Linked DNA regions of Oryctolagus cuniculus. The protein of the gene in region 2 binds, or shares a complex with, the protein of the main gene of each other region. Links are inferred from orthologs where the notes say so. Each region holds a gene or a part of one and is shown on either strand. Other genes may lie near its edges. The genes, in order: CIPC, CLOCK and BMAL1.

Evidence for each region.
Region 1: the proteins of CLOCK (region 2) and CIPC are in contact, whole or in part, in a crystal structure (PDB 5VJI), measured with the Mus musculus proteins. The link is inferred for Oryctolagus cuniculus from reciprocal best matches to the Homo sapiens genes CLOCK and CIPC. Residues at the interface, in NP_001276755.1 of Mus musculus: Gln519, Leu526, Lys527, Leu530, Arg533, Ile537, Asn540, Ile541, Arg543, Gln544, Glu547, Leu548, Ile551, Gln554, Leu555, Val558; in XP_006515773.1 of Mus musculus: Asn401, Thr402, Val405, Leu406, Ser409, Leu411, Ile414, Thr415, Thr418, Leu421, Ile422, Asn425, Thr428, Gln429, Leu432, Leu435, Lys436, Thr439, Gln440, Phe442, Ile443, Thr446.
Region 3: the proteins of CLOCK (region 2) and BMAL1 are in contact, whole or in part, in a crystal structure (PDB 4F3L), measured with the Mus musculus proteins. The link is inferred for Oryctolagus cuniculus from reciprocal best matches to the Homo sapiens genes CLOCK and BMAL1. Residues at the interface, in NP_001276755.1 of Mus musculus: Arg46, Gln49, Phe50, Leu53, Ile54, Glu56, Leu57, Met60, Leu61, Pro62, Lys70, Ser71, Leu74, Gln75, Ser77, Ile78, Phe80, Leu81, Arg82, His84, Lys85, Thr88, Glu95, Ile96, Gln98, Asp99, Trp100, Pro102, Phe104, Leu105; in XP_030097882.1 of Mus musculus: Lys70, Met71, Phe74, Ile75, Glu77, Leu78, Ser80, Leu81, Val82, Asp93, Leu95, Leu98, Arg99, Ala101, Val102, His104, Met105, Lys106, Leu108, Arg109, Gly110, Ala118, Tyr120, Lys121, Pro122, Phe124, Leu125, Asp127, Asp128, Glu129.

Annotation. Positions count from the first base shown.
Region 1 is NC_091451.1:22,865,663-22,869,929, reverse strand, and holds the start of CIPC (CLOCK-interacting pacemaker), read right to left. Parts: upstream 2,894-4,267; 5' UTR 2,780-2,893; intron 2,764-2,779; exon of another isoform or gene 2,537-2,763; intron 2,535-2,536; exon of another isoform or gene 2,419-2,534; intron 2,296-2,418; exon of another isoform or gene 1,755-2,295; intron 1,415-1,754; exon of another isoform or gene 1,258-1,414; intron 1-1,257.
Region 2 is NC_091439.1:109,034,318-109,037,916, reverse strand, and holds part of CLOCK (circadian locomoter output cycles protein kaput), read right to left. Parts: intron 2,900-3,599; coding exon 2,779-2,899; intron 1,143-2,778; coding exon 1,029-1,142; intron 895-1,028; coding exon 776-894; intron 1-775. UniProt on the Homo sapiens protein: Transcriptional activator which forms a core component of the circadian clock.
Region 3 is NC_091432.1:52,850,000-52,853,598, forward strand, and holds part of BMAL1 (basic helix-loop-helix ARNT-like protein 1), read right to left. Parts: intron 2,705-3,599; coding exon 2,666-2,704; intron 2,366-2,665; coding exon 2,324-2,365; intron 1,308-2,323; coding exon 1,150-1,307; intron 1-1,149. UniProt on the Homo sapiens protein: Transcriptional activator which forms a core component of the circadian clock.

The DNA.
Region 1 (4,267 bases), on a different chromosome or scaffold from region 2:
GGTCCCTGCCACCCTGCGGGAGACCCAGAGAGTCCCTGGCTTCCGCCTTCAGCCTGGCCACACACTGGTTGTTGCAGGCATTTGGGAAGGGAATCAGCAAATGGCAGGTCTCTCTTTCTGTCTCCCCTCTCTGTCTCTCAAATAAAGAAAATAAAAAAGAACCCGGTAAAATTTCACATTATAATCATGAGCTATCTTACAGGTGTTTCAGATAAAGCGTCTTCTGTAAGTCTCACTGTCAATAACGTCCCGCTACTGTTACTGAAGTGCAGCCTACAGAGCTATAGAAAAGACACAGGAGTTCATTGGGGCTCACTGCGAACCTGCAGGTTAATTCTGATCGTGAAATCAAAATTCTGAAATGCTGACAAACCGCTTAAGTGGAGAACAGATGCTAAAATTGTAGAGCCTGGGCAGCTGGAAACAAACAAGGTATAATCTCCTCCAGAGCGCTAAACTGGTGATTTCAGATGGGAAAATGGTTGAAAATAGGAAAGCGCTGTTTTGACGACTCTTCGAGCAGCAGAGGTGCTCAGTGCCAGCCAGGGCGGCTCCCGTGGGCTCAGAGCGGCAGGAGCGGCACTTCCAGTGGGCTGAGGGTGCCAATTAGCCAGGAACAAGGACCCACGCACACCTGGCAGCACGTGACGCCCTGGGCACAGGGGTCACTGCCGGTGCCCTCAATCCCCGGGCAGGGCAAATGGCAACACCCGAAGCCTTCCCTCTTCAGCAGTACTTCAAAGTCAGGTGCTTGGAGATGGCTTGGTTCCTAAGCTCTCACCCTGTGTCACCTCTGCTTCCTGGCACGCACATGGCTTTCCAAACATCCCACGCCCCATGCACGGGACTCCGTGTCCCAAGGACTGGCGCTCCCACGCTGTCAGCACCAGCCCTAACCGGGCTCCTGTGTGTGTACAAGTAACACACGTTCCCAAACAAAACCACGGCCACCACAGTCCACGAGCGCGATGCAGGGCACAGAACAGGTTCCTAAATACACACACTTCACACAGGCTCGTGCGTCCATGCCACATGCACTCCCTACACTGGTCTGTTTATCTCCCCAACCTCCGGAGTTCTTCCACTGTGGCGAGCTCAGCCCCCAGCACGAACGTGCGAGGAAGCCAACAGCACAGTAACTCTGGCTCCCTGAAATGCTCACACGGCTCGAAGGTCAAGATCCTGCCTGTCCAAGCCCCACGGTCACTTCCACACCCAACTTCCAGGTCCTGTCCTCCGCAGGAAACATAATCTCACCTCCCCTTCCTCCTAAGTGAGACCTCGGCAACAAAGCCTCCGATCTACATTCCTCATCTCCGAGGAGACGTGAGCTCAGGACGAGAGGGAGACCCGAGGTTACAAGGAAAGGGCCCGAAATGCGGCTTTCAGATCTCTCCTTTTATAGACTCTTGGCAGGGCTCCTCGGAGTGCGAGCTCCCTTTAAGACGCGTCACGTGTATAACATGCGTGCATGGACACAAGTGTGGGGTGAGAGCCCAAGCTTAAACACAATAAAGTGACAAAGCCACCTTCAACAAGGCTGCCACCCAGAAAACGGCTTAGTATTCTAAGGACGTTCCAGTTCTCTCCGCGTGCGTGCTCCGAGACACCCGTTCTGGGAGAGAACGTGTTTTACTGGTGGAAAAGCCCCATCTACCTAAATCTTACACCACCACATTCACTGAACTCTCCAGCCGGGCTGGAAGCTCAGGGACCCTGAGCCCCGAGCCCAGACAACTGCTCTCCACGCCCACCTGTCCAAGGGGAGACCGCTCCAACCCCGCGCCGGGCGGTTCGCCGCCTCTCCCCTCGCAGCGGCCCACGCTGCGGCTGTGCCAGGCGGCATGTGCACCCTCCGGGCATCCACGAGCCTGCCAGCTCCGCAGGGCAGAACTGGGCAGACCCTGCGACTGTGCTGCGACTGGCACACCAGCCTCCCACGGCAAACGCCCCGGCAACAGCCGGGACCTGGGTCCCCTCCAGCCCACCACCAACTCCTTCCTCCGCACTGCCCACCTCCCCCACGCCCCTACTCCTGGCACCACGACTGGCAAGCTAGCCAGCCACCCCGAGAAGTAACCAGCACAGTGGGAGGCAGCCGGTCCTTGCGAGACAGACAGAACACCGGCGGCGCCCTGGAACCCGAACGGGCACTGCCCCCAGCTCCACACTGGAGGCCCAGCCCCCTCCCCAGGCTGCAGCTCTGCCACCCACTCCCCAGTCCATCCCTGGCCCGCGGCTCAGAGCCCGACAGGCCTCCGGGCTCCGGACGCCTAGGGCTACCCCTGGGCCCGCACACAAGCCCCCTCCCCGCACACGGCTCCCTCCTCGCAGGCCCCGCCCCTCGCAGCGAAACCAACTACGTGGGCGGGGGCGCACCCTCCGACCCCCGAAGTGCCGGCTCGCCCTCGCGCCTACCTCGCGCCCCTTCCTCTGTCCTCTACCGCCACCTTCTCTCCCCGCTCTCCTCGCCCAAACCCTCCCCCGCCGCGCCATCCCCGCCTTCCTCCCGCGGGCCCAGCCCTCCCTTTCTCACCTAGGGCCAGGGTCGCTCCACGACCGGCCCAGCGCGTGAGGTGGCGCATGCGCGAATCCAGCCCCAAGGCTCCATGACAACCCCGTCGTCGCCGGGTCTCCTGCTATCCCCCCGGCCTCCCGCCCATTTCTCCTCCCCGCGCCTCCGCGACGCCTTTCCCCACCACGTGACTCGGCTCGGAGGACCCGGCACCATAGAGACTGCGCGCCACCTTCCTAGAAGAGCCCTTGGAGACGAACTCACTTTCCGCCTCTGCCGGAAGGCGCGCGGGGACGTCGCCGCTCTCTCCGCGGCGGGCGGACGTCTCTATGGTTGGTTCCTGAGGCGCGACCGCCATTTTGTACGGCGGCGTGGAGCCGTTCGCGGCTCTGGCGTGGTTGTGGTACGGGATTCCGGGGAGCCGGGGTTGGGCCGGTTATGGCGGGATGCCTGACTCCCGAGGGAAACCAAGGGCTCATTCCCCTGTAGTATGTGCAGCCAGGACGTTGTTATTGTTGGGGGCCGGACAGGGCGCGCCCGGCGTAAGCAGGCGGGTGGGGTGACGGGGCGGTCCCCACCTCCCCGCGGGCGGCTCACGTTTTTGCCAGGCCTGTCGGAGGGGTTGTTTTGTCTTCCCGTCCACCCCTGTGACCATGCTTCGCGAGACCTACTCTCGAGGGGCTTCTCACTGCGTGATCGTGTCGTTGGATATTTTGAAGAAATTGAGCTAGAAAATTGCAGGCCCAAACCTCCTTCCCCAAAGCTGAAATCCTGTGGGGCGGGGGTTGTATAATTTCGGTTCCTTATCTTTACAGCTGCACCTGTGTGAGGATAAGGGGCCGAAGCTGTGTAACCCTTGCCTCACCCGCCGTTAATAGCCGTTAATAATTCTAGATGTCCTTTGAACTCCCCGCACGTGCTGTGAGTTTCCCGCGGTGTGAGTTGATTTGCTAATGAGCTTCCCGCGGTGTGAGGTGGAATAGGTCTCTGAAAACCCTATAAAAACCCTGACCCTTGCCTTCTCGGGGCTGCTCTGTTCCTGCGTGGTCAGAGAGCCCCAGCACGCTGGTCGGAATAAACCCCTTGCTGATTGCATGCGAGTGTCTCTTGGAGTCGTTCCTGGGGCGGTGGACGTTTCTCGACCCTAACAATTTGATTCATTTTGTCCGGTGCGGCTGCCCGAGACGGGCTTCCCAGGGATGCGGCTTCTCCGGCCAGCCCCCGGTGTTAGTGCGAGCACACGTGTAACGGCCAAAGCGAAGAGGGCTTGAGGCCGCCGGGAGTTCGGGTGTGTTGTGTCAGCGAGGGTGGCTTAGCCGAGAAGAAGCCGTTCGCAGGTGCGGGGAGAACGGGACGAGGCGGTGCCGGCCGCGCTCGTCCAGTAAATACGGTAGTCACTAAGCACGGGGAGCCCTGAAACGGCTGAAAATGCAGAATTTCCGTTTCTCAGTAGCACCCGCCGCGTCTCAAGAGCTCACGTTCCCAGCATGGCAGAAAGTTAGGTTGGCTACGTGCGGACCCAGGTGCTGGGAAGTTGTCCTGTGGTGGTCACCCACGCTTTGTTAAGCGCTACTAGGTCCTGGTCACGAAAGACCCCGACACCGACGATGCTACTGTAGTCCTGAGTATGAGGGTGTCTGCTTAGCTTAAGCTCCGCCAATAAATGATTGACAGCTTACATTAAAAAAAAAGTAACTAAAAACGGAGAAAAAGCCTACAGCCCTTGAGACTTTTGCTCTGGGGTTGGAGGGA
Region 2 (3,599 bases):
GTTGAACTAGTTCACTTTCCCACTTCCCTACTAAATGATTCAGTTAAATTCTAGAACTGAAAAGGTAAATTATGTGCAGTAAAAAGCTGCTTACACATTCCCAAAAACAAATCTGAAAACCAGTATTTAAAAAATTATCAGGGGAGGCCAGTGCTATGGCATAGTGGGTAAAGCTGCCATCCACAGTGCCGCCATCCCATATGGGTGCCACTTCGAAACCTGGCTGCTCCACTTATGATCCAACTCTGTGCTATGGCCTGGAAAAGCAGTGGAAGATGGCTCAGGTCCTTGGGACCCTGCACCTGCATGGGAGACCTGGAAGAAGCTCCTGGCTCCTGGCTTCAGATCAGCTCAGCTCCAGCCATCGTGGCTGTTTGGGAGTGAACCAGCAGATGGAAGACCTCTTTCTCTCTCTGCCTCTTTGTAACTCTTTCAAATAAATAAATAAATCTTTAAAAAAATTACCAAGGTTATTTTGGATTTCTCCTTTAATGAAGACAGTGAATTAGTCACAAAAACCTAAGAAAATTTTGCACAAAAGTAGGTCAACAGTGACATACAACCACTGGTGAACTGCAAAGAACTTACACTAAGAAATTAGCTATATAATTTAATGAGCGCCTTGATAACTTATGTTTCAAAAAAATCATGATCATGCATGTTCAATGTCTCACAGTCTTCAATGTTTATATGAGGTTTCAGCCACTGTAAAGAAAACAAAAAATTACATAATGTGGACTGAAATTCTCCCTGGGAAATGAAACTAGAAACATACCTTGATGAACTGCGGCGTAGCCAATCTCACAGTAGCTACAAAACAAATCCTATCCTCATAGGAAGGCCTGTGTGTGCGCTGTATAGTTCCTTCAAAGCCATTGTGTGCTGAAGTGGATACTAAACAGTGAAGAAATGCTATGATCAGTTACTCCAACAAAAGCTGTTACTGATATCCAAACATCTAAGTCTTTAAGAGCTAGAAAAATAATATCAAGTTAAAACACACTGGAAAGAGAGGCATTTTAACTCACCGCTATTTAAAGATTTGAAATTTCCTATGAATCTCACATACTCATAGGTAGATGGTTCCTTTGGGTCTATTGTTCCTCGAAGCATATGACAACAGAATTCTAACTGATTTTTTGCTGAAATGAGAGATTTTGAAAAGTCGTTCTGTGATCTGGACAATGAACAAATATCACACAAAATAAGACTAAAAGCAAACTTTATAGTCATTATCTCCCTTAACAGAGTTTTCAATGACATTTTAGTAGGTAGGAGGTGACCTCACCTGCACAAGCAACGTCGTGCCCCCATTTGCACCTGTCCCTCCTCCTCCTCACTCCAGCTCTGTTTCCTTCTACACCTTGCCATCTTTCCTGCCTTTCCTAGGACCAGGGCCACGATGAGGCCGTGCATTTCTTCAGCACCTGCACATTCTCCCCTGTGGGTCCTTTCTAGTCTTAAATTTGCTCAGTTTCCACCTCCAACAACGGGTTGCTCATGGTGAGCTTTCTGGTCCCAGACACTTGGCTTCACGTTATGGGCTCCAGTGTCCGCACGTTCAGTTCTCCTCGGCTCACACCGGGGGCTGCCCCGCAGACCCCTCTGCGGCAACTCCTTCGGTACCTAACACGTGTCCTATCACCTTCAACAGCTTCTCCTCACTGCTTCTGCCTCTTTCACCACGGCGGAGGTCTCTCCCTGCCTGCGGACAGCGCTCTTCTGCGCCTGATCTGCTTTCTTTGCAAGCTGACTACGACACCTCTCCTCCCAATTCCGCTATCTCAAGCAGGACACACTCTCACACCACGATTTACTGTCACAGCTTTTTCACTCACCTGTCCCCATAGGAGCTTAAACTCAAAATACCTGAATCTTTCTTCCCAAGCCAGCTGTTCCACGTGCACTTATTCCCCAAGTTGGAAACTAAGTAAGTTTGGTGGCTTTTCTTCCCATCACAAGTCTCAAATATAATGTGTCCAGGATCTGCTATTTATTTCACAAGGAAGCTCTCCCAAGCCCTCACTGCCACCAGCTCAATGCTGCACACACTACCCTGCACCCAGGTAACTGCCCCGTGTTCTCATTATGCCTCCATATTCTGGCCACGCTGACGCATCCTTGCCAACCACTTGTAAGTCGAATCCCACCGTGTCAGGTTATTTCAGCACTCAAGGACTAGCAACCCTTCTCTTCACTTACACCAAGCTCACACTCCTCTGCCATTATCACTACAGATGGTTCTATCTAACTCCAGAGGTTCAAAATCTGCTTCTGCCCCAGACCCTTTCCCATCAATGATCCTCAGTCACTTGGTTGCCTGTGCCTGACATCAAGTCCTACTGAGTTTACTTCCTTAACACTCACACACTTGCCTCCCCTTCCATGGCTAACATTATACAGTTTTCCTTTCTGTTCCCAATTTAGTCCTATTGCAAATTTCTTACCTGAGTGATCTGCCTTTCTAATTCTGCCTGTTTCCTTCCCTAGACACAAATCACACTCCTATACCACCTCACCTTCACTATGGCCAAAATGACCTACTAGATTTCTAAAGCAGTTTTCTGTTTTAACTCATTTATTATCTTTGGCATAAAACATCTTTTTTTCTTCCTGAAAGAACATTTTTTTGCTTATTGATTGTTTACCTAGCAGATAAGCAAGTCAATTAAGACTTTTTACCACCCCCACTTTGATCTTGAACTCCACAGACTTGAAAACGAAAGGATTATGCTACCAAGCAGAATATCTGACTACTGTTTAACAGCTACTACTTACATTTTAAGTACTCAGGGGTTAACGAGTCACTTTCCAGCAGATGGGTAGAGAGTATTTTATAAACCTCTGAATGTTCCCCCTCTGGGATAAAATTAAATATACTTTGATCCACAAGATCAGACTGAAAAACAATTTTAAACACAAAATAAATCTGTGATTCCTAAGATATTTATCTTAAAAGTGTATCATCACTATTAAACAACAGGGTACAGGGTTAATTTTCATTTATGTAAGATAACCAACAAATGTCAAGTTACAGATCAGATCCCACAGAAACAAGGCTGAGAAGTTAGGGCGTAACAGTGCACTCATGGCTCTGATGGCGATGTCATCAGGTTCACGATCACTGTGACCTTCCAAGCCAGACACATGACTTGCAAAGCTAAGCTCCACGAACTTCGAACACATTAAACTACAACATGACTAAAATTTAATCAGAAAATTCTTGGACCACAAGTCATAGCTTTACGACCGTCGCCAGCAGCGGCACGCATACACAAAGTCTGGTCTCATGCTAAATAAATGTGGTATCACTTCGGTTGTCCAATAGGTGCTTTCTTTTTATTTCATATTTTCCTGGCATCTATCTTGCATTCCACTGTCAGAAGCCTTGCTTTTATGCTACCCACCCCCACCCCCAAGAGGGCAACTGACATGTTAAGCCCAGTGACTTGCTGACTCTTGTATGTTCCTTTCATCAACAGTAAGTAATCTCACAAGCCTTGGGTTGCCTACAGTGCCACAGCTGTGGAATCAAAGGATGAATGCATTATTGGTTCTTATCCTTAAGGTCCACTGGTAACAAAGCTTCAGGGACATCC
Region 3 (3,599 bases), on a different chromosome or scaffold from region 2:
GGGCGAGCCTTGGGTTTTAAATTGGGCTGTCCATCTGGAGAGCGATACCTGGCAAAATGCCAGCAGCCAAAGACCTGGCCTTGCAGAGAGCGGGTGGAATAGAGAAGGACTAGGATGAAATGGACGCATAACAATTCAGAGTAGGTGGGAAGGTGATCAACTCCATGTGTTTGTGACTTTCATACAGACTAACTCAGGGCCTCTACTCCTGATCCATAGCTCTGCTTCTGAGTATAGCTTGAGATTTGCCACTTTCCTCTTTCATTTTAATAGAAATTAGTTTCTAATAAATAATTTAACTCATTGCCTTTGCTGACATAAACTTTTAAATGCCATTCTCTGAGCACAGGATACAGCATTTACAGTTTTGAATAATGATCAGAAGTCAGACAAAATCAGCTTTTTATTTCCACTGGCCTTGTGCAAGTTTAAAGACAAATTCTTTTATGACACAGGTCAGAGGTCAGAATGAGCGTCCACTTCCCAGTTTCCTCCAATCGTCCAAGACTAGCTATGGAAAATTCCAGAACAGCAGTCACTGAAATGCCCGATACATTTCAGATTTCTCTTGCGATCTGGAAAAGTCACTTCCACTTTCCTGCCTCTGTTTTCTCACCCTCCCCACACTCAGCAAAGAAGGAAGCTACTGCCTCCCTCACAGAGTGAGCCTGGTCGGGGAAAATTCCAGGAAGATGAGAACACCAGCAGTGCTCCGCCCTGACAACCAAACGCAGCAGGCGCCATCAGTGGCTCACTCCACAAAGGAACCGGAACAAATTATTCTCTGAAAAACGGAAAGCGCCTCTTGTGTGTCACTGTGTGCACCTACGTTTCTGATTTATACCACCGCTGAGGTGGAATCCAGGGGCACTCACATCTACACAAGATGGGACCTCCGCAGGGTCCCGATAGGCACGTGGCCCAGTGGCAGGCACACCTGGAGACACGCACGACACATGCCTTAGACACTCCAGAGATTCACGACCTGCAAAACTGCATCTCGAGACCCACGCGGGCTCAGTAACTACCTCATGGCTACAGATTTTGATGTAATCAATATGCACCTAGGCACTGAGGAACATTCTAGACGAGGTGGGTAACATCTGTGAACAAGGACAGAAGGACAGTGAAGCAAGCCCAGGGTCTCACCTCGTAGCGTCTTCATGTGCTGAACGGCCATCCTCAGCACAGTCAGTTTATCCAGCTTCCTAGACATGGCGTTGCACGTGGGAACCAGAGAAGCCAGCTCGTCAATGAAACTGTTCATCTTATCCCGGCGCCGCTTTTCAATCTGACTGTGAGCCTCTCTGAACACACCAATGCGGACAGCGATTTTTCAGGAAACAGAACCCAGCGGCAACAAGAAGACAAAAATAAATGAACTGTAACTTTTCAATATTCATTTGATAAGGCCAATTCAGACTTTGCACAATGTTTCCAATCAGGTTTTTCTACTCAAGTCAGCCCCTAGAACGGTCCCCCTGCCAGGTCGGTACCAGTTTTCTTGTGCTTAGCTCATCCTTAGGATCACGGAAGAGAATTACATAAACTGTCCTTTTGAGCAAACTCAATTAGTTTCTCCTCATTGCTTCCCCTCCCAGCCCCTGTAAACAGGATTTGGAGATGGGAATGGAAAGAGAGAGAAGGGAGGTGGAGGTTTCCCAGAACAGCCACAGCAAGGGCCTAGTCCCTGGTGGGCTGTATCTGAGGTCCAGGAGGAGTGGGCAGTGTGGCCTGTGGGTGACATCACTTCCTTCAGAGCCGGACAGGTCCCTGGGCACTAGTGCCTCCATTCATGGTTCAGCATTCAGACACTGCATCTGGGTCTCCGGGCTTCCTCTGAGGGGTTCTGAGGGGCAGCTACACACCCACGGAACCAACCGCTAGAGATACTAGGCCAGCCAACTTGTGCAGCCCCTGGCTGTGTGTGTCACGACACAGCCTCAGGTGGGCACTGGGACTCCACCGGAAGAGGACCACAAGTGCAGCAAGGGCCCTTGCAGAAGGCAAGGCGCAGCCTAGAAGTGGAATCCTCACCCTGTACCTCCTCCGGGGGCCCTCAAGTCAGGGAGGAGCAATCTGCTAAAGACTTGGAGGGAGACTTCAGCCTTGAGTGACTTCCTGCCACCTCCAAAGTCCCCTTTAGGTTGAATGTGCTTAGTCAGAAAAGGCAGAAAGCAGAGGGCAGAAGGTGATGGCGTGTGGAGACCCACTCCCCACTCCCCTGTTCCCTAAGGACATACAGACATGCCAGGGACCAAGCACTCGGTGCACCGCAGCCAGAACCCGGACAGATGGTAGAAGAAATGCAGTCCAAACTCACCTCGCGTTTTTGATCCTGCCTTGGTGCTCAGCGTATTCTAACCTGGAGGGGAGAATGCAAACGATCAAAATGCAATCCCCTGGCGGGAGAAGAGGGGGCGGGGGATGGCCGCCATGCACTTCTGTTTCCTCCTGCCTGGCCCCTGTCCTCTCTCTACAGGCACACGGGGGCTCTCACTTGTTACTCACATTGGGGAGGGGGCATGCTGGGAGACAGCCTTGAACCTACAGGCTCTCTCTAACCAAGGACATGGGAGGAACCAGCTCCATGTTATATAGTTTGTAACCATGCAAGAAAACAGCTACAGGGATATAGAAGTTCAAATGACCAAATTTGTGGTACCTTCCATGAGGGTCATCTTTGTCTGTGTCCATGCTTTCTCTGGAAAAACAAGACAGAACGTGACTGTGTGTCAATGAACACATACAGAATAGTTCACTGTCATACAGAAAGCTCTCATTTATCCAGAAACCAAATGCCAGAAAGCTCAAGTAACCTAAGTATTGATTAATGATGGATAATAGCAAACCAGACAGAACAATGAACTTGAACTTACTGTAGTACCTGAAATGGTTTTCCAGATTATGAAATAAAATTATATATAGTCTCTATAGAGTTTGGGTGTTAACATAAATTTTACCTTATCCTGTTTGAAAACTGAGAATATATAGTGTTTACAGAAACTCTTCAAATATCTACAACATTTCATTCCTCCAGCATTCTGGATAAATGGAGCTGATTCTATTTGCAAAACATGTCAAGCGTCAAAGACACATGTGCATAGGTATCTACTTGGAGGGGAGGGGTGAAGTGAGGAGGGGAATGAAAGTACTAACAGAGAAGGACTGAACAGAGCCCCAGGCAGTGTTTCAAAGGCCCTGCTCCCAAACGTCTGCCTCTCAGCTGGGTAGGAATCCTAGGCTTTGGGAATCGGGATGGAGAGGAGGAGTGGGGCTGGGGGCTGCACAGGGTCCTGAGGTCACGGCAAGATCTGCCTGCCTTTCACAGGCCCCAGAAACACAAGCTTTTGACGCCCTGTGGCTCAGCAGGAAGCTGACCAACATTCCCAGAGGCAGGACTTCCAAATCCCCCCAGCTCAGCCCTGCCGCTTCTCCTGGCCTGTTATGAGGAGGCTACTGACTGCCACCTGGATTTCTCTCCTTTCTCCATAGCCAAGGAGGGATCGGGGCCCTTCAAACAACGAAACCTCATGGGCACAAACTGCTCCTAGAGCATGGCTCACACGGCCGCATTCTAGGACAGCCGTCCCCACGCA